Linked DNA regions of Struthio camelus. The protein of the gene in region 1 interacts with the protein of each later gene in a pairwise test. Links are inferred from orthologs where the notes say so. Each region holds a gene or a part of one and is shown on either strand. Other genes may lie near its edges.

Region 1 (10,496 bases):
CATCTGCAGACTTTCCAAACTTCCCCCACCACATCCAGTAATTCCTGCAGAGCCGCTGTGTGGTTTTGCAAATGAAAGCAGCACAGACTCTCAGTAGTTATCTGTAGAAGGACAACAATTAAAGCTCCTGGCTGTTCCTTTCCCTGTTTGCATGCCAAAAGTACCTGGCATATATGCCCCTGAAAAGAGTAAGTATATAAACCAATTTATTTAATGTGGGAAAAAATGCGCTGCTCTTAACTGCCAACAGAACAAGGACTAAAATGGAGAAAAGGAGTCCACTGTCATATACAGCTGTTTCTTTTTCCCCATACTGAAAAGAGAAGCAGGAAGTAGCCAGTCCTGGGCAAATGCATTTAAATCACAGAAGAAAGCTAGAACTGCACAGCAAAATATGCAGTCTGCTTCAATCATTACTTGAGCTGAAAGTTTTAATGTGCCTTAATATCACCAATATTTTCAGCCAATTAACTGCTCAAAATGCTTCAAAAGTCATGAACAAATTTTACTTCTGGCAATATTTCGAGTAATTATATCAAAATATTATGATGAACTGTATTAGTTCAAAAAGGCTGGTGAATTTATGGACTATCTCCAGAGGTGTACATTATTCAACAGAAAGCTTAAACTATAACCTACAAGCTCACATGAGCAGGAACTGGAAACGTTGGAAGGACAACATACCAAATCACAGGCTGTCTAACATAACTGTTTTTAAATTGAACTGTGTTGTGCTGTTTGTTTTGTGTCTCCAAGAAACCACAGAAAACAACACTGCCAGATGAATGCAGACAAGATGCACTTCCTTTTGTCTCCTCTTCCTCCCCCCTCAACGAATAATTATTATTTTTTTTTTAAAGGAAAAAGCTATGCTCACATGCACAAATTACTAGAACGTAGGTCGATCATACTTCTCAGCTTTAACTGGCATTGCTGCACAATCTGTCAAGCCTCAAGCAAGCATCAACTGCATCAAACCAATGGTTATGTGACAGGAACACAAGTCTGTGTAAAAATGGATAAGCATTTTAAAATATCACCTTAGATTTGTTTTGCAGTGCATTTTTCGCTTTCAGAAATGTTCAGGTGTGACTTTCCTGTACGTTACCAGGATACTGTATTCTATCCTTTCAAAATACAGAGTTTCAGGCATACCTTTAGCATCCTCAGTCCTTTTATGCAATGTGTCTTGCACAGTATCTACAGTGTATTTAGAAAAACAAAAAATAAAAGGTCTACATTAGCGTTCAGGCATAAATTCAGAAAAATGAATTCAGGTATAAGCTCCACCTTGTATTTATTTAGCTTTGACAGTAGCCACAATACATTTGTACTTCACAAACTGAAAGAAAATCCAATTCTGAAGAATCAACATTAGAGTACAAAGACATATAGGCTATAGTTATTCTGAAAAAAACAGATACATTTCTTTATATTTTATAATGGGTAGAACACTTCCCAAATCCTGAAGCTTAACATAATCATCCTGTTTTCCACACGTTCAAAATTCACCTGAACAACAGGCTTTTCAGCTGAGCTCACACCGGATAAGCAAAGCAAGGTTCCCGACGAAACCTTACTTGGGCCACAGCATTTATAGGAACCACGTGATCTGAGCCAGAAGAGCCCACCAGCTTTAAGTGGCCGCCACTGGATGCAGACCACGACCATCACTGTGGGGTAGAGTTTGCAACAGCAGATGTAAAAACTTGATCATTCAGAAGCTCAAGAGTTTCCTCTCCCGTCTTGTCCTTTTGGAGAGGTACACTAGTTCCTACAAGACCCAGACAAGAAGTCCGGAATTCTCCCGCAGACCAGACCTTGGTCTGAAGTCTTCTTGTTAGCAGACCAGCTGATGGAACTCAAAAGCCAGGTAACACTGGACCCTGACTTTGACTCTTCCAGCCCATAGAAACAGATCATTTTCTACTTCCAGTTTCGCCACTGCATTGGACAGCTTATGAAGATTAACTAAATTTATATTTAAAATATGTTAAACATATAATATTAGTATTATAAAAATAATACTATAATAAAAACATATAATATTAGTATTATAAAAATAATACGCATTATTGGTAGAAGTCTCCCTTAAAGTGTACTAATAAAAAAGGAGTGATTTGTCATAATGATCTGTATCTCACATCTAACAGTATAAATACCTGACATCCATAATTAGACAGGACTCCCTCCAGTTGCATAGGACTGCCTCAACTCACAAATTTAGAGCAAGTATCATTTTACACTTTCCACTATCCTTCATGATCACGTCTTCAAAATTGCAGATGTTTTCATTACTGTTAGATGTCTCCCAAAGCACATTTTAAATCTAAACAGGCAGGACACTAAACATTCAACGCATGTCTTTTGCGAAAAGTAAATGCTAAGTTTTCTCCTTTTTTTAAAAAAAAGGTAGTTGTCTTTTTGAACTGCATTTTTTACAAGAATAAGCAGATGACAGTCAAAGCTCTGTTGATTTACAGTTGAAAAAGATCATTAAAATAACTGACATAAGCAATATCTTGCAGTCTCTTGTTTAAATTTCTGGATAGAAAAACATTCTTAAGCCCCTTTCACATGTTATATGAAGAACAAAAAACCTCAAGAGTGAAGCAAATTTAGATCTTTTCAGTAAATAACAACTCAGGAAAGAAATGGCTGATCTGAGTGACTAACTAAAAGAAGATCTGTAGTTGGATGATACTCCAGTCTGTCTTCTAGTTTTATAGCCATGCATCAGGCTCAAATTGCTGAACATTCATTGCTGAACAAGAGGAAAATTTCACACAGGTTAAAACTGTATCTAACAGCACTATGGCCAGAACAGTAATAAATATTGTTTATTATTCAGTAGACTACATCATTAAACATGCACCCAGGAATGAACAAACACCTTGATACCATTATTGCCAGTAACCATAACTTCACAGTTGCAGGTTCTTTACAGATTGGAACACTTTTTTTTTTTTTGTTTAATTGCTATATCGCGTGTAGTCAAAGCCTCTTCATATACCAATACCACCAAAATTTTATGTAGAACTTGGCACCTTCAAAAAAGACCCAGTTCTGCTTCCTTGCAAAGATCCAAAGATTTTTATTTCATAAATTCACTTTTCCTGCATTTCTGCAAAAGAAAAACATTGTTGTATTTTAACAGCTAAAATAAACAGTATACTCTGCCTTTTTTAACAGTTACTAGCACACGCTTCATGATATAGATAACATATTCACAAAAGTTAACATATACACCCTTTCGTTATTGTAGAAAAAATAAATGCAACAATTATAATATCCATGTTTTAGTCTATATGATGAAACAGCAGTTCAAAAATATCATATGTAACCTTAAAAATGGGTAAAGTGCAACTGTTACTTCTCTATATGGATTAGAAAACTATTTTAGAAGTTAAAATTTTTTTTTTTTTGTGAAATCTCTAATCTGTCCTGCTTTCACCAAGTCTGATCCCTTTCTCAGTGAAGAGGTGAATTTAGAGCTTTGTTTGATTCAGCATGCAACTGTAAGAGCGTTCTCTTTAAGATACTTATACATACTAAAATAGTTCATGGAAGCCGACTGAAGTTATAGAACATTTAACAGCACAGAACAGGAGAAAAATCCAGTGGAAGTAATACTGAAATAGGTAAAAGATTCAGACAGTTCCAACAGTCTAAAGTTCTAACAGATCTTTTCCAATATTTTGGCAATTCCACAATTCTAATGGTAAAATTTACCAGCCTGAAAAGGACATCATGACTCTCTGGATATGCAGCTCACTAAAATTAAATAACAAATCACACCTTCACCCAGAAGTTATCTGGGGAAATTCTATGGCCTTGACTTCTGGAAAATAAAAATAAAAACGAACAAACAAACAAAAAGCTTCAGAACAGTGAACGCCCAAAGTAAAAAAAAAAAAAAAAGAAAGAAAAAAACTGCTTCAAATAACTTCTACCAACCCAGAAAAGCAGCTTCGTTCTACACTCGCTCTCCCCTATCAAACGGTTAAAAAATTGCCTTCGCTAGTGAGTACACCCATCGTGTAACCCACAGCCCAGCTCCACCTGCAAGCACGACTCAGGTCTTCCCCGCACGCGAGGAGGCTGCCGCCGGCTCCGCCAGCATCCCCACAGGCCCAAACCCAGGGACACCCGCTGCCTCCCCGCGGCCATCTCCGCAGCCCCCGAGCCCTCCCAGCCGACGGCCAGGCGAGAGAGCTCCCACCGGCCGCCCGCAGCAGCCCTCCAGCCCCGCGCCGAGGCCGTTGGCCGAGCAGCCCCGGCCGCCCAGCGGCAACGCCCCAGAGCGCGGCGCCCCTCGCCTCCCCAGGCGCCCCCTCCCCCGCCAACGGCCCGCCAACGGCTCGCCACCGGCCGCCACGCCCGCTCGCGCCGCGCACGCAGCGGCCCCGAGGCGCGGGCGGGGCCAGCCCAGCCCAGCCCAGCCCAGCCGAGGAGGCGGGGCCCGCGCCGAGCCGCCCGTTACCTTCCCAGAGGACGTCGCCGCCCTGCCGCCGCAGGAACTTGTACCAGAAGGTGCCGCCCGCGTCCTCGTCCGGCAGCGCCACCTCCGCCAGCCACAGCGCCGGCTCCTGGGTTGGCAGCGCGGCGGCGGGCCGCGCCGGCGTCATGGGCACGGCGCGCTGCGGGTCCCACTGGCCCAGCTCCGGCCGCGAGCCGGCCACGCAGAGCACGACGCCGCCCGCCGTCAGCCGGGCCGGCAGCACCAGGCCGAAGCGGAACAGCATGGCGGCGGCGGGCAGCCTCGGCCGCGGCGCGGTGGCGTTGTCGGAGTCGGCGTCGGTTGTCGCCGCGCGGCCGCTGGGGGGGGCCCGGCCGCGGCCTCACTTCCGGCGGGGGAACGTGACGGCGGGGGGGTGGGGGGGGCGGCCGCCGGTGCCCTCTGGGCGCGGCCGTCCTCGGCCGGGCTTTTCCTGGCGTGGCTTTTTCGCTGCTTCGCCCCCTACGCGCCTGTAAGCTGAAGGGGCTCCGCTCCTCGAACGCCGATGGGATTTTGAACTTCATCTCAGCGCCGGATATCTTTCTAAAGTTAAGGCTGGGACGGCGGATTACCTCTGCAGGTAAATAAATACCTGTACCGATGTGTGGCTGCAGGAGGTTACACGTTATGTACACTGACTTTAGCAAACGATTATTACCTCGTTAAAGGAAGCTTCTGCAATTACTCCTGAGAGTCCAGACTTAATTTAGTGCAGTAAACACATCATTAAACAAGCACAATACATGCAGCATTACAAACAGTTCTCCAGGTTTAGCCTTGAATTAGGCTCCGTGATGTTTATATCTTCCCTGAAGATAGGCAGCTGCTCGTGTTAAGACCAGAAGTAGGAAATAGGAACGGAAGAGTAGATGTAAAAAAAATTCTCAGTCTCTCAACTGCATGCATTTTGCTTTGCCCTTCTGACCCAATTTTGGCAAGTCCTATATGTAGCAATATTCAGGACTTGCAAAGAATGACTGAGAGGGAGGATGCAATCCAACTGGTGATAGGGCAGTCCTTGTCTCAATACACCCATTTCAGAAGCATCTAAGGACAGAAACAGAGGATTACTAACTTTATTTAGGTCAAGTTCTGGGAACAGGATGAAGGCCTTTCAATGAGTCAAAAGAAATTCTGCGTCAAAAGATGACTGCTTATTTCCTGTGTGTCGTGATGACACGCTGAAGTGTATGTACTGCCAATTTTTAAGAGTGCCTTAGCTCATCTTTACTATTCCTGATGCAATTCGTGCAAGTGATATGCCGCCACTGTTCCAGGCATAACCAAAGCTAAGGGAATCCTGGCTTTCCTCCCTGTATTTCTGTTAGCGCCAGCTCTCGTTGTAGCACTGTGAGTTTTACAGAACAAAGCAATATGTTCTAATCCTTACCTTTGCCCAACCTTACGTTCTAGTTATTCCTGTCTCAAAATTGCCTTTCAGATCTCTACCCTGTTAGGATAAACCTTAATTGTAGCATTATGGGCATGAGAGAATGGAACACTAAACTTAGTTTTGCTGTCCCAAAGTTCAGGCTTGACAGTAGCCCTGAAAGTAATCAAGTAGCCTGTGCCTACCTGAAACCATCTGTTCTTGCTGATTCCAGACATCATCCCAGGTCAGAAACTGCAGGAAGCAGCGACAAATCTGTTCCTTTAGTTCCTGGCTGTTGTTTAAGCCTCAGTATAAAGAGACAAGCAACACATACCTATCTTAAGACAAACCTTAACTTCTTTGTACCTAGTAAGTACCAAATCATCATCATCTTAGACATGTATGCCATGTAGGAAGAATAAAAATTAAGTTCTCTAGCTTCTGATATGGCAAATACCAGCCTTAAAAGTAATTAAGACCGTTTCTTCTCCAGATTCAGTCTTAATTCGTTTTGTGCCTGTCAATATCAGGTGTTGGGTTAAGGTTAAAAATGACAAGAGCTGAGACACTTAACTACTTGATCTTTCCTCCAAAACCCATAAAGTTAAGATGAATGGTGGAGCTGACAGAGATAAATAGCTGATCATCAGTTATAGGTCACCAGGCTGTAGTTAAAATGAGTGGGAGTTTTTGGCAAAGCAGTAACTGAAAACTAAGCTTTTTTGTTGGATTGACAATGCCTATAAAATGGCCTGTGATTCATTTTTAGGTTTCTAAACTGTTGTTACAGTTCAAATTAACGTTAAGATTCAAGACAAGAGGGGCTGAAGAGCTGGATTTATTACTGGATCTTGCAAGACTAGGAGAAGAACTAGAGCTTGGCTTGGGACTCTGGAGTCCCATGTGTTTAGGACAGTGGGAATAGAAGAACAAATCTTACCCGTGAATACTACCAAGTTGAGGACTAGAATGATGTCTGTAAACAGGAGTGAATGGATTATCGTTAGACCTGAGACTGATACAGACACAGAGAGGTTTGGGTTCAAATTCAAAAGGAAATGGAGATGTATGTTCATTGCTGGATTTGCGTGGTCTATGGATTGCTAGTCTCTAAACTGGAATTTAAGCTAGAGTCAAAAGGGAAACGTACTGCTATTGTTTGGGATAGCAAGAGTTGAAGTACTTTCACTGTTTAGCTGTTGCTGTAACGCTAATTAGTTTAAGTATGACCCCGAGCCTTCTAATAAATTAGCAATGAACTGGTTTCCTCCTGTCAAAATGACCCCTTATCCTAGAACTGCTTGACCCAAAGTCCCTTCTCCACAGTTCTCAACACTAATCTCAAACCCAAAAGCCTTCCCTATAGTCTAGTTATCTCTTACAGCCACAAAATTAAACATGACTACTTTTTTTTCTTTTCTTTTTTTATTCCTCAAAGTCTTCATCCCAACCTGACATGCCTTGCAAGTCGCTCAAAAGATTTTGGAGCAACGTGGGCCAAAACCCTAATAATCAAGTAATCAAATTGCCTTTAACTGTCCTAGGAACTGTTGTTAAATGTTCATTCCTGTGGGAACAAAGTACCATTTTAGCACTGTGGCCTGCCAGGATCTAACAGTAAACGTTGTGTCCTTGCATCCTTAACAGCTATTTAGGATCTAGCAATACACTTATATCAGCATCTACTGTGTGGAAGCCTAGATCTACCTCAGTTCTCAAGTTAGACTAGCAACACAGTGATTCTTAGTGCCAAATTTATTTTCTAGAATCCAGCTCGTGGCCACTCATACCATCTCAGGTGTTTGTCAGTGCTGACTGGCTCTCTGACAGACTAAATGGGAAGAGCAGTATGAGAAAAATGGATTGTTCTTCCACAGCATTAGCACACAGCAACAGACTCTAGACATGGGAATCCGTGCAAGGATCAATCGCTTCATGGACTTCTCCTTAATAGTATTGAGAGGTCAGTCTTGCCCTACATAATTTCCAATTTTTTTTTTTTTTTTTAAATCTAGCCCATCCTCCAGAATTTGTGAAGGTGGTTAAGATCATACATGGGGAAATCACCAAGGCTATGTACCAGCTGCAGCAAAAACAGTTAGGTCTTGAGTTCCTGCTTAACTGCTGTGGCTAAATGGGCTCTAAGGAAAAATTTGAGTATCCAGAAATTGGAGCTGTGATTATATTTTCATACATGTAAAACATGTATGAGATGTTTTAAAACCCTTATCTTCTTTTGCTATGTATTAAACTTTTGCAGAACCACAAATCAAAGTTTAGACAAGGTTCTGCTGAAATACCAGTACTGACAGTCGCTGTTCATACAGCTCCTATTGCTGTGGATGATTAACGTTTCAGGAAAGCTGGCCCTTTTTGTTCAGTTCTACCTGCTTCAACATGCTTGCAGTTTACTATGCTACAGAAGGCCCTCTAATTCCTTATAATGCCTCTTCCTGGTGCAAAATTGATCTGGTATTCAGGGATCTGAACCATTCATTACATTCAGGAAACTTGGACAGAGAAAGTGTTGCTGGCTGGATTTAACAAAGATACTAATCAAGAAATTTGACAGTAGTGTACAGCAGTCCAAAATTCAACTTTCTAAGAGGAAAGTCATGTTTTCTTTCCACAAATGCTTGTTTTCTTCACTTTTCTAGTTTGAAAAGTGGCTACTTAGAAAGAGCACACAGCTATCTGGGCAATGTGAACACTACTACAATCACAGATCAACTTAATACCTTTCATATTAGGGTGGCCTGTGTTTTTAGCATACATGTCCTTTACTGATTACAAGCTTTTTACACCATGGGCCTGTTTGCTGCTTGGCACAGCCTTATCTGTTGTTGCTGTACAGTGATCCCCAATGATATTTCCAAGTAGGGAAATCTGCAGTGAAGACAGAGTTTGAAAAACAAAACCAAACACACAGTTACTGAAAAGATTTGGTCGGAAAAGGGATGATAATTAGGTCTTTCTTTATGCTGCTGCAAGTTTTGCGTGATGTTTGGATTAGCTGTGCTCCTTCCCAGACAAGCCTTTCTTCCCTTTTTAGGTCATTTTCTTTCCTGTAAAGATACGGGAAAAGTGTTATCGCAATTTCCAAATGTTTGCTCTAATTATAGAAAAGAGAAAGGCAGCACACTGTACAGCTGTAGTTGCAGGTGCCGTTTCAGAGCACAGATAACTCTGTGAAGCTGTTTTAGCTTCTGAGTGCTAGTTTGTGTAGCAGTCTCAGGCAGGCTAAGCTAAAAAAAAATCTGGCATGACTGACCATTTTAGTAATTGCATTAGAAAACTATATTGAAATAATAGGTAGGACACTAAAGGAGGTAACTTTCACTTCTGCATATCATTGTGTATAGCATTTTTCCTGAACTTATAAAAACAGTTTCTTATTTTTAAAAGTAACTAGCCAGCTCAAATATGCAATAACATTACAGTAATGCATACAGGAATAACTATTCTAGTAGGCTTGTGGTTTTTTTTTTTTTTTCCCCAAAATCCAGTGCCTCTAATAAAAAGCCATCTCTGCATCCTCCCCAGCCTGAAGGGTTTTGGGAACTGAAGAAGGTCCCAACATATTTCACCAGAGGGCCCTTTCAGTATGCCTTATCAACCTCATCAATGCCCAATACCTTTGCAAGCATTGCAAAGGAGCCCAGAACACGGCTCCTTTCCTGCTTCAGGCAAAGTGACCGCGACAGTTCTCTCCAGGAAGCTCTGTGCCAGCCTTATGTATTTCTTGTAGACTGTCCACACCAGGAAGATCTAGAAGCTCCAGGCAAACTTGGAGCTTCTGTCCTAACATTAATGTGGCACTTCTGCCTGGCACAACGGGCCAGAACAGAGGCCAAGGATTTACTCAGAGAGTAAATCTCTTGTAGAAGAGTAAAGATTTAATGACTGTAAAGTAACTTGAGATGCTCCACTGAAAAATACTGAAAAGTAGTATATAACAGTAAATTGTTACAACACCAAACTAATTATAAGGTACACTGTTTGAAAGCAGCCTTTTACTACCAATAAAACATCAAGTTTCTTATTAAATACCCATCTTAGAAGAAAAGAGGTTCAGCCCTTTTGAAATAAGGAACAAAACACTTGACTGTATGGAATACCAAAACATTATTCCATTAGTTAGAAGAGTGCAGTTTGACCCAAAGTTAATGTGATGTACACCATGTGAATTTCTAAGTAGAAGAAAGTGCTTTCTTTATGGAGGCTTGTTACGTAAGCCTTTCATTTTCAAAAGCAAATGCACACAGACCCAAGTAACTCTGCTCCACTCTAATTAATGCATCAGTAGCTGAGCATAGTTTCAGTGTTCCTAGGAACCTCAGCAAATTACTGGTTGAGAGAAAGTTCCTATATATTATACACGTGTGACTGCTTCAAGAAAAAGTTACTGCTTGGTTTTCATTATGTAACTTTCTTTTTTTTTTCTTTTTTTTTTTTTTGGCAAATGCAGTGTTATGATCAACAATACTTCAGAAATCCACAGCAGTAGAAGGCAAAACATTTGGCAAAAACTGCCAAAAATTTTGCCCTGTCTTTAAGATCTTAGCATCACTGAAGTATTACAAGTTATACTCATTTTGTTATCTTCAGAATATAAATGACTAAATT
Region 2 (10,613 bases), on another chromosome or scaffold:
TATTTAGTCCTATGAAGCCTGCCATAGGAGGCAACAAACCTTACAATTTGATAGTGCCCCATCTTACAGAGCTGCTTATTTTCTTCTGCCATATGAGGAAGACCAGACTTCTCAATTCCCTGTATTTATTCTTCCAGGACACAAGTGTTGCTCCCAGATTGGCACTGGTCGCTCCTCTGATTCAGATGCAGAAAATAAAGCAGGTGGATTGCAAGCCTACAGCAGCCCTTCAATCTGTGTAGCAGGCAATCACACCTCATCCCAACCTCAGAGCGCTCTACCTGCCTTAGACCTCCTGGTTATGAAATATCCTGATACAGTAGTTGTGTCACTCCTTGAAAACAATTTCTGCCTCAACTTACAACCTCAGAGTGCTCCAATACAAAACTGTAGTATTAGCGGCATTCATTGTCTTTTAAATGGACAATGAAAATTCTTCTGTACTAAAAAATAAATGATTTTTACCATTCCCTAGTAGTAGATAGCCACTGACACACAGGTAACTGAACACTACATAGACAAGCAATAAAAACCTATTGTTACTGAAGGTACAGAGGCTTAAAACAAGAGCAATAATCAGAATCTGACCTTCAGAGGCAGAAAGTACTTGCAACTCAAACTGAATTCAAGTACTGACAAACGCCCAGTACGGCTGAAATAAGACATTCAAAATACATCTTGCATTTCTGCTGCTATACTGAATAACTATGTAACTTTTATAATATCAGCTCTGTGATTTTTTGGATGCTTCACTTAGTTTAGAAATCAAAAAGGCATATAAACAGCCACTTCAGTAACAGCGACTGCTAACAGAAATGACCATTTGAATTAGAGTATGAAAAATATATGAATTGCACGTTTTATCAAAAGATTTTTTTGGAATAAATCTCTCACCTACTGAGACAACATCCAAGCAAAGAGCACATTTAATTACCCTAGAAGGTGGGCTAACTACCGTAATGCATGGAAAGAATTTCTAATTCAATAATTTTGTTTTTAAATCAATTTCAGAGCTGTCTACATTGGTCAGCAGGTATGAAACAAACTATAAACAAACTAATTGGCAGAGGGTTAGTTCTATCCTGCCACATGACGAACAAGTCAATTCTCAATTGTTTCAAACCGGATTGAGTTTCCTCAGTACTTTGAGGAGATGCTCAGCAGCGCATAGAATCGCCACTCATGACTTCAGGCCCTAAAAGCCACAGACTAACGGAGCTGGGCAACTAGTTCACTTGAAATCCTGGCCTTGTTAAAGGGGTATCGCACCTAAGTAATCACATTAAGCTGCCAAACATGGGATGCTTCTTGGAGTTTCTGCAATTCCAGAATGACCCAATGGACTTTTTTGACTAACACATACTTGGCTGTGTGCTGCCTACAATCTTGATTTTAAAAATAATTTGTGATTTTGATGAATAAGCAGCAATCCAAAATAAGACATCTGAATATGCAGCATGATTTTCATAGTATATTCCTTCTGAAAAGCAGCTCTTCTAATATATCCAGCCAACCAGTTTTGAAAACTTACACTATACTTATAAAGCTAAAGTACTTCACTCTGCATGCAGTGAAGAATATGCATTAAAACATTCAAGGACAATCATTTATTTACTAGATTTAAGCCTGTTACCAATCTCACACCAGACTAAATCCTCAGAAGGAAAGCAGCCCAGCAGTAAGCTACATATTGGGCAGACTCTTCTGTGTTACTCTGCTCTCAGTGCTGCAAAAGGAATTCTGTTTGTGGATCCATGTAAAAACCAATTTACCAGTAAAATCATCATTTTCCCATTTTGTGTTCAGTCTTGAACTAGTTTATAATCAGTAGTAGGTGATTAGAGAACTCAAAAGTGCTACTGCAATAGTACTGGGACACTAGGGAAAAGGGAGCGGGGATTCAGGCTTCTAGCGTTCTATTCCAAGGCTCCGCGACCAGCTCACTGCACTGCCTTTATAGTTTGTCTTTCATACCCATGCCTTGAGTTTTAAATTTATCCGTTTCTAGTATGGGTGTAAGATCATTAGCTTTTATGTAGTGCTTTGAGATCTTCAAGTGTGATCACAACAAAAGTGCAAAATTGCTCTAGTTTCCCTTAATAAAAATAGCTCCACAAGGAAAGGCCAATTCCATTTCCCTGGAGAAAAAAACCTACTTGTACATCACCCCAAAAGATGAGAACTCCCCCATGGTCAGCCTAATTTACACTTAAATCACGCCTGCTCCCTATAGCAAACATTGCAGATGAGAAAAGGCACATGGTTAAGAAACTTTTTTTTTTTTTTAAAAGGGAAACAGAGGAGCAGCTGGCACATTTTCATGTTGTTTTAGCTCATAATTAAATTTCTTTTGCAAACTAAATATTAATAGAAACACTTAACGTGGCTAAAACGTTAACAAATATACTTATGTAAAAATACATACTTCCCTACTGTGCTTGCCATCCAAATTTTGCTAAGCTGGAATAGTGCCCAGACTTGGTGAGATAACATAAACAAAAATAGAAATAAAAACAGTAAAGCCACACTGTCCATTTAAAAAAAACCAGACATGGTAAAACAGACTCGTTATAAATATTTTATGCAGTCCAGAATACCATTAGCAACAAAAGTGCCTTTCTTCGCTTTCAGATATTTAGTCTGACAGCATCCCTTTGAACCATTCTGCACCGATTCACACACCACAAGAAATCACGCGGGCTTTCAACGGATGTAACGCGATACACATTTTGGCCCTTTATACTTTCTGAGAGGTTTAGAACAGTTTGTACACATCACTGGCTACTTTCCTGTTCTGAAACACTTTGCCAGGTTTGGCAGGTTTCAAAAAGAGGGTTTGTATTGCCCTAGGAGCACAGAGCAATGCCAGGGAAGAGAATAAGGCTATTCAAAAGCTGCTCTACATCCAATTTCTTTTGCTTAGATGAAGTGGATCCAGCTCTCCTCACATTCTCTAGGCATCTTAAGGGGGTAATTCCGGCAGGTAAAACTGTAGTTGTTGCCTCTGTTGTTATCCCAATATTCCTGCCCATTGACTCTGTATCTTGCTGCAAATTGGACTACAGAGCACAGATGAAGGAGGAAAGGAGGTACAGGGAGAAAAAAAGTGAAAACATCAACCTGAGCTTGCCCGTTTTTCTCAGGGATGCTGCTATGCCAATGAGCACACACTTCATGGAGGCTTTTCCACTGGTTGAAGGTGTATCGCACAGATACCTGCTTCTCAAAAGCAATATTACAAACTTGGATGGTGCCACTGAGCCCCAAATCTGAATTGGTCACTCGTTCAAGACACACCTGCTGCTCCTGAAGTCGGGCAGAGAAATCCATACAGTCTGCAGGCTGCTGGAAGTCAGGGACCAAGCACTGCATGGTGAACTCCAGGTCCAAGCTACTGCCCCAGAGGTCTGAGTTTATGGAGAGCCTGGAAAGGACATGCAAGGGGATTGACGGATCCTCTCCAGTCTGGAAGACTTTCACTTCAGTCAGCTCCAAGCCCAAAGCATCAGCAAATCTCACCCTGTTCGTACGACCCTCGCATCCTGGAACTCGGCACTGCACTCCTGCTCGCTTTCTTCTTTCAGGTGATGTAGGCAAAGACCTCGCTCGGCGGCGTATGATAGGCCGTAAAGCTGGATCGCAGCTGGTGGCAGTGCTACTCTGAGGCCGATTTGGTTGCGAGCCCCCCTTGGCCGGGATACTGCTCAGAAGACTCACGCTGCTACTTGTGTGAACTGCCTGGGGCCGCTGCTGCCCTCGTCCCGGCTCTGCCTCAGCCTGTAACATGTTCTGATAGAGATTGGAGAGGTAGCTGGGACTCCTCCGAGGACCACGTACCTCCATTCTTAACCGATGACAAAGAGCTGAGGTTGACGCTGCCGATACTGAGTACTGCCTCTCTGAAGCACGTAACTTGGGAACGACAGCCAGAGCAGGAGGGTATTTGGGGTTGTTCTGCTGGTTGCTGCAGGAATTCACTGGAGCAACGAAGCCTTCCGCAGTGAAGGGCAGAAACCTGGAAGCTCTCGCAGCAGCTGGCAGCGAACCGGAGGCTCGTGCATCGGAGGGGAAAGCTGAGGGCCGCCTCACCGGCTGGTGACCTCGAGGCTGTTACGCTGGCTGGAGGAGCTGCTACACAGGCTGGAAAGGGATTCAAGACTATCACACCTGCTGCTGGAGGACCTGAAGCTCTCCTGCAGGCTGGAGACCGACTGGAGGCTGTCGTGCGGGGCGCCGGCGGACTCCAGGCTGTCCCAGAGGCTGCTGGGGGCCCGGCGGTGCCCCTGAAGCGCCCCGGAGCGGGGCTGCAGGCTGTCCTCGCAGGCGCTCGTCGACGCCAGGCTGCCGCAGTGGCAGCAGGGACACTCGAGGCTGTCACACTGGAGGCTGGGCGACTCGCGGCTACCGGCCAGGCTGGGAAAGGCCGGGAGGCTGTCGGGCGGGACGGAGGAGCCGGAGCCGAGGCTGCTGCGGCGGCTGGAGGGCGTGAGGAGGCTGTCGGGCGGGGCCGCGCAGGCAGAGTCGGTACTGTGGCCGGGCGGGGAGGGAGCCGCGCTCGGGGACTCGGCAGCCCACATCAGCTGGCGGCAGGGCAGGGCAGGGCGCTGCGCAGCCGGCAGCCGACCGCGGCCCCACAGCCCGCGGCAACCGGCACCGCTCGCCCCTCCGCGGACAGACCGCCGCCGCCGCCCTCGCCAGCAGCGCATGCGCGTCCCCCCCCCCCCGGGCAACTAATCAAGAGGAAACCATCAGCCGTCCGCGGTGCGCATGCGTCGTCACTCGGCGCGTGCGCATTAGCCAGAGCGACGTCGCCGCAGTCGACTTGCCCTTAGCTGCTGGCGGAGGCAGGTACCGGGCAGGTGCTGGCGGGACCGGGGCGCGGGGGGGAAGACAGCGAAAAAATACACGGATATAGCTCGTTATTAACGCCCTGCAGCAAGACCAAGGGTGGGTGAGCAGAGGTAATTTGGTGCTAATTGTCTGCTACCCTTTGGAAATCATGCGCCCTTGGGAATGCTGTTTTTAGAAGATAAAAAAAAATACTGCATGTTCTGCTGGTAGTATTTTTAGTACGAATTTAAGGGTCCTGGGAGATTTGTTTTGGAACAAGAAGAAGAAAATTAAGCATTCGATAGAGAACTTGCATATCGGACGGTACCAAGAGCGCGTTTCCTGCCGCGGGAAGGACGAGCCGGCGCGGCGCGCCCGGGAGGCAGGCGCAGCGCAGGGCAGCGCAGCGCAGGGCAGCGCAGGGCAGCGCAGCGCAGCGCAGCGCAGCGCAGCGCAGGGCAGCGCAGCGCAGCGGCGCCCGCCCGCCCGCCCGCCCGCCCGCCGCTTGGCTGCGGTGCTTGGCTCCGGTCCTACGCGCGGCGTGGTGCAAGGGCAACACGATGAGGAGCACGCCAGGAAACGAAAAGTAGCTCATGCAATGCTGCTGTACCTTCTCATGCTCCCCCCGCCTCCCCGTACCTTGCCCAAGCATCCTCTCAGGGACGGGCTTGTGAACCGTATGCCGACTGCCGTGAAGTAAGCACAGCGCTGGGGCAAGGGAGAGTGTTTTCCAGGACTGTTTGGGAGCTGATTATGTTACTGCTTTAAAAAAAAATAATAATCACATTGGGAGGAATGGCATGGTGTTTGTTTACTGCATCTCTAGGACGTGGTGATGCCTGCGTTTGATGCGCTGTGTCTCATCAACCCGAAACACTGGAGTCCTTTGAAGGTTATGTAAAAATAAAGGCGCAGACACTCTTCAAAGAGAGGAACAATGGGACCAGGCATTCAGGAACATCCTTTATTACTGCGCAGCGGGACACCGGAAAAGGAAAGCCAAATCAATGAAAACCACAAAGGAACGGTAAAGTAAGGAAATTACCTTCTCTCTTTATAATTAGAGATTTCTCTAAGTACTGTAAATTAGTTAATAAATGCATGACTGTGTACTGTTCAGATTCTCATCCTCCTCTCTGATCCACAGCAACGCAAGCGGTTGCGCTGTTTGATCTTGCAGGTCCCAGCGACAGAGACGACTGCGTCAGTGCTGAAGGCACAAGGCTTATTTGCATGATTTTATCAGCTCTTAAAGTGATGACTATTTTTTAAAGCGAAATCAAACTACACTGACATAACAGCTATGAAGAATATGTGCTGCCTGGCAAAATTAATTGTACTGCAGTGAATCTAAAGTAGGCTGGGGAGATACAACTTGTTTATTTCTGTTCTAAAATGACGTTTTAAAGCTTTCCTTCTTGAAATTAGTAATATTTCTTGTTTGTAGAACAAACACCACTTTCTTGACTCCTACAGCATACACTGTTTTAATGATTCAGTGTGGGTTTTTTTTTTTTGTTTGTTTGCTGCTGTGCTTACAGAGAAAAGTATCTGATCTATTAGAGGAAAGGAAATATTGTGTAATTTAGTTTTAAGCTGTCCAGATCAATAATGTCATTCCTTTCACTTCCGTATGAAGCTTTTCCTTATCAATATTTTGCATGATCCAACAACAAAAAATAGTGAATTTTTTGTTGAATAGTGAAACTGACTTTGTTTGTGCCTTTATTGCAAAATAGTTTCTATTAATATTATAATAGACTATATGCTACCTGTTCACTTTGCTCATTTTCTTCATAGAAAAATTCCTTTAAATTTTACTGAGACTATGCAAATGAGATAGCCAGGCAGGAATTGGCTTGTACTGGTCTTCATATCATACTTAAAGATTACTTCTGCTAAACTGCAGTAGGCCCACAAGTAACAGGTACTACATAAATTAATAGTTAAGTATATAATCTCTAATATTTACTATTTATTATCCCCAACATAACTTTGGTTTCCCCTGACAGAATAGTCTTTATAAGGGCCAAGTTCTCTTATTATATTATCTATTGGAATTTTGCACTTTTGTGTAGTATAAAAATAAAAAGCGACCACAGTATGGTTCTCATGAACTTTAAGTCTCTCCAAGCATAGTTGCCGTCAGCTCTCTCTTTTAAACTGAGTTGCACTGTAAACTTTTACTATGTTTCTGTTCTGACCATGAAATATGTTACTATTGGTGTATGGTATTCTGTTTAATCCTCGCTAGTTACAGCGGTGGAAAAAGCCATCTGAGTACCAAAGGACTAAAGAAACAAATTTCTCATGTGAGATCTTCTGGAAGATTAGGCAAAAATATATCAAATGCCACTGAAAAGGTAAATCATTCCAGTTCCTTGTTTCCTTACAGAAAAAGAGTACTTAGTTTATATCAGCTTTCTTGATCGCAGTAGCAGCATCACATACTTTCCTATCTTTCCAGACTTCCCATGACACTCAGGACGATAACCAACCATGTATTTTTTACAAGGAAAGAAACCAGCTGGGTGACCACATTCAGCCAAGCAGGTAATTTTATGTTAAGGTTCTCTGCTTTATTTGTAGACGTTTCAAATTGGTATGCAAAATGGTTGTGATGAAATCATGGGTTCATTGATTTCTATAAGAATTTTACCTTTGGCTTCACTGGCCCCACAATTCAGCATTTATGAGGAAAAAAAAACTTAAGTTATTAATATGGAAACTTATTATACTGCTTCAATGAGCTTCTAGGCAAAATCAGAATAAAATAAGACAAAAAAATTATCAGAAAAATAATTACTCATGATAGCGTCCCTGAGAATTAAGAATCAACATAGGAATTTTCATGGAGAAAATACCTTTAAAAGATCCATTTGAAGATGAGGAGAGTTTTGGATTTAAGAAGTATTCGAGAACAAGCTCTTGTGGCAGAAAGTATTCGAGAACAAGCTCTTGTGGCAGAAAACATAACCCAATGTGTGAGAGAAGAAAACTGATACTGGGAGGGGAATGCGAATAGTGAGAAAAGACTGAAAAATGAAATGACTATGGCGTGTAGAGTTTTAATAGTGGATAAAAAAAATCAGAGAGCGTTCATGGTTGGGTTGAAGAAGTTAATGGGAATAATATTGCCAGATACAAGATTCCTTGCAACAGAATGGAGTGGATACAAGCAAATATTACGAGCCTAAATTTAATCTTAGAACTCTATTTTGGGAGCTTGCTACTTTAAGGAGAAAGTGAGAAAGATTTACTGAAATTAGCGTCCTCTAGAAAAATGGAAGCTATTTTGGATAAGTTAAGTTTGGTAACATACTAACATTGTTTTTACTGCTGAATCTTGACTCTTTCCACAGTGAGGTCTCTGTAAACAGAGATTGCTGTTCATGACCTCTTTTTGCACTCCTCATCATACAAAATTTTTCCTATTCAGTTGTCCGCTAGTCCCTCTCTGTTTGAATGCAGGCACACACAGTTCTCTCCGTTTATGCGGTACTGTTTCTGACGTTTGCTGTTACATTTCCTCTTTTAAGACAAAATAACATCTTGAATTTAGTATTGTACCTCAGGATATTTTGGGGTGAATGCTACCTTTTAATTTGTGATTGATGCACATGTGTATTCATTTGGGAACTATAAGCAGCAATAAGTTTTTATTTTTAAACTATTCAGCATTCCTTACAGAGAGGGTCACATTCTCAACTGCTATAAATGAGTGAAGTGAAGGGGGTTGCATCAGTTTATACCATTTGACCATGAAAGCTTGATTGTTTTGTCTTATGTCCTAACTATTAATTCTGGCCATGGTCTCTGTCTTTAGACTGAATTTCTATTTTATGTGTAACAAGCATTGCAATGTATATCAAATAAGTCAAACCACAACACAGGGTAGCAGGCAGTGTTCTCTTTGCTAGCAAATATTAATCTTACCTCATCAGTAAGTTTTCATGCCAATTTTAGCTTAATTCACATAGATCCAAGTTCTTGTAAGACAGTAGCAAGTCCTTTGTAACTTGTTGTTCCAAATACATTAATCATTTTACTTGTATATGCTCTTTCTTCCTGTTCAGAACGATGAGCGTTTGCACCTCATTGCACAGAGTACAAGGATCAAAGAGGAGTGTCTCAGAAAGAAAACAAAGCGAATCTGTGCTGCACAGGATCCCTCCTAGCATGAAGGGCAGCTCACAAGGTAGCTTCAGGAGGGCAAAAGATGTCCCGATGCAACACTGTTATTGCAGTAAGAACAAACAGTTAGAAAACACTCATAAAGAACATGTTGCTGAAGCTGGTCCATGCTCTTCTAAATGGCAAGAAGCATCTGTAGATCAGATGCTTCTCGATTTTGAATCGGTACGAATTATTAAAGAAGATGCTGAAGATGATAGTGCCAGTGACCTTTCTGATTCAGAAAGGATTCCCGTTCCTCCATCTCCCTGCACACCACCAGAACTCATTCTCAGAGCTGAAGAAATTGATCCAGTTTGTTTGGAACATGTCCTTGATACAGGGTTTAAAGAATCAGAATATTATTACCCAGACTTCCTCCCACCCCCTTTCAACTCCTGGGATTTGAAGCAGCTGGCCATCTTTGTTACTGTAGAGGGTAAAACTGAATTTCGACCGAAGCCAGCAGGATTTCTTGAGAAATACATTGATCGTCTTTTGCAGCTGGAATGGCTGCAAATGCAGACTGTACAGAATGAGAAAGGAAAGACAGCAAAAGTCAGACCTCAAACTGCTCCCAGCTCCATCCGTACCCTAAAAAGCCCTGGGAAAGGCAAAGTATTGCCCAGCCCTTTGCCTAGCAAGCAAGCAATTCCCCAAGAAAGCATTACAAAGCTCCCCACAAGCTATTCAGGTCACAGGAGAGACGCATACTGTGAAGAAAACTGCCAAATGCATGCACAGCCAGGTCACTTTTCTGAGAGCATGGGACGTGCACTGTCATCTCAGAGAAATTCTGGTGAAGTAAGGAGTGAGTTGAGAAAGAAACCGACTGCAAAGCAACAACTTCTCAATACGCAGCCCTCTGAAAACAGTTCTAAAATTCAAGGCATCGGTAACATCAGACCCCCTAAGCAGACCCCTGTATTCCATGGTTCAGCTGCTCCCACTAAAGGCTTAAAAACATATTCGTGTACAAATCCAAAGAAAAACGGCAATGCTAATAACTATGTTCCTTGCAAAAAAATAACAGGGGACAGGAAAATGAAAACAAATGGCACAAAGCAAACATCACGTAAATTTAAATGAAAAATAATCATTAGTAAATGTTGATGCTTCTTGACTGCTAGAAAGCATTTGGCCATGTAGAAGGGTCATGTTTCCTTCATAGGAAGATCTTGAGGAAAGTATGCTCTTGATGCATTTTTCTAAATCACCACTACTCAATTCAATATATTTGATCATAAACCAGCAAGGCCATCAGGAATCTTTTCCTTGAAGGCAAATGTCTTCCACTGGTCTTTCCTCAAAAATATTTACAATTGCTAAATGAAGATAACACTATCTAAATAAGCAAGTTTAGAGAAATATTTAATTGTAAAATTTCCTATTAGCACCACTAACCCCACGGAAATTTGTGGTGTTTCATCTGTTCACCTTGGTGTATTTGAGAGGAGAACAAGATCTATGCTCTTTTTCTTGAGCAGATGTGCTTTTTTGCGGGGTGGGTTTGGTGGTGTTTTTTTTTTTTTTTTTTTTCTGATGGAAAAGGGCTGAATTGTTTTTATAAAATAATGGAACAGGCCAGGCTTATCTATGCAAAGTTAATC

Evidence for each region. The genes of interacting proteins can lie anywhere in the genome.
Region 2: the proteins of EPM2A (region 1) and PPP1R3D interact in a two-hybrid assay, tested with the Homo sapiens proteins (2 studies listed by BioGRID, with this or other methods). The link is inferred for Struthio camelus from reciprocal best matches to the Homo sapiens genes EPM2A and PPP1R3D.

Annotation. Positions count from the first base shown.
Region 1 is NC_090944.1:83,977,269-83,987,764, reverse strand, and holds the start of EPM2A (laforin), read right to left. Parts: upstream 4,830-10,496; 5' UTR 4,746-4,829; coding exon 4,484-4,745; intron 1-4,483. UniProt on the Homo sapiens protein: Plays an important role in preventing glycogen hyperphosphorylation and the formation of insoluble aggregates, via its activity as glycogen phosphatase, and by promoting the ubiquitination of proteins involved in glycogen metabolism via its interaction with the E3 ubiquitin ligase NHLRC1/malin.
Region 2 is NC_090959.1:14,319,413-14,330,025, forward strand, and holds the start of PPP1R3D (protein phosphatase 1 regulatory subunit 3D), read right to left. Parts: upstream 4,709-10,613; 5' UTR 3,844-4,708; coding exon 2,920-3,843; 3' UTR 1-2,919. Other genes in the region: protein FAM217B, read left to right, coding at 5,768-5,862, 7,085-7,193, 7,298-7,383, 8,907-10,092. UniProt on the Homo sapiens protein: Seems to act as a glycogen-targeting subunit for PP1. PP1 is essential for cell division, and participates in the regulation of glycogen metabolism, muscle contractility and protein synthesis.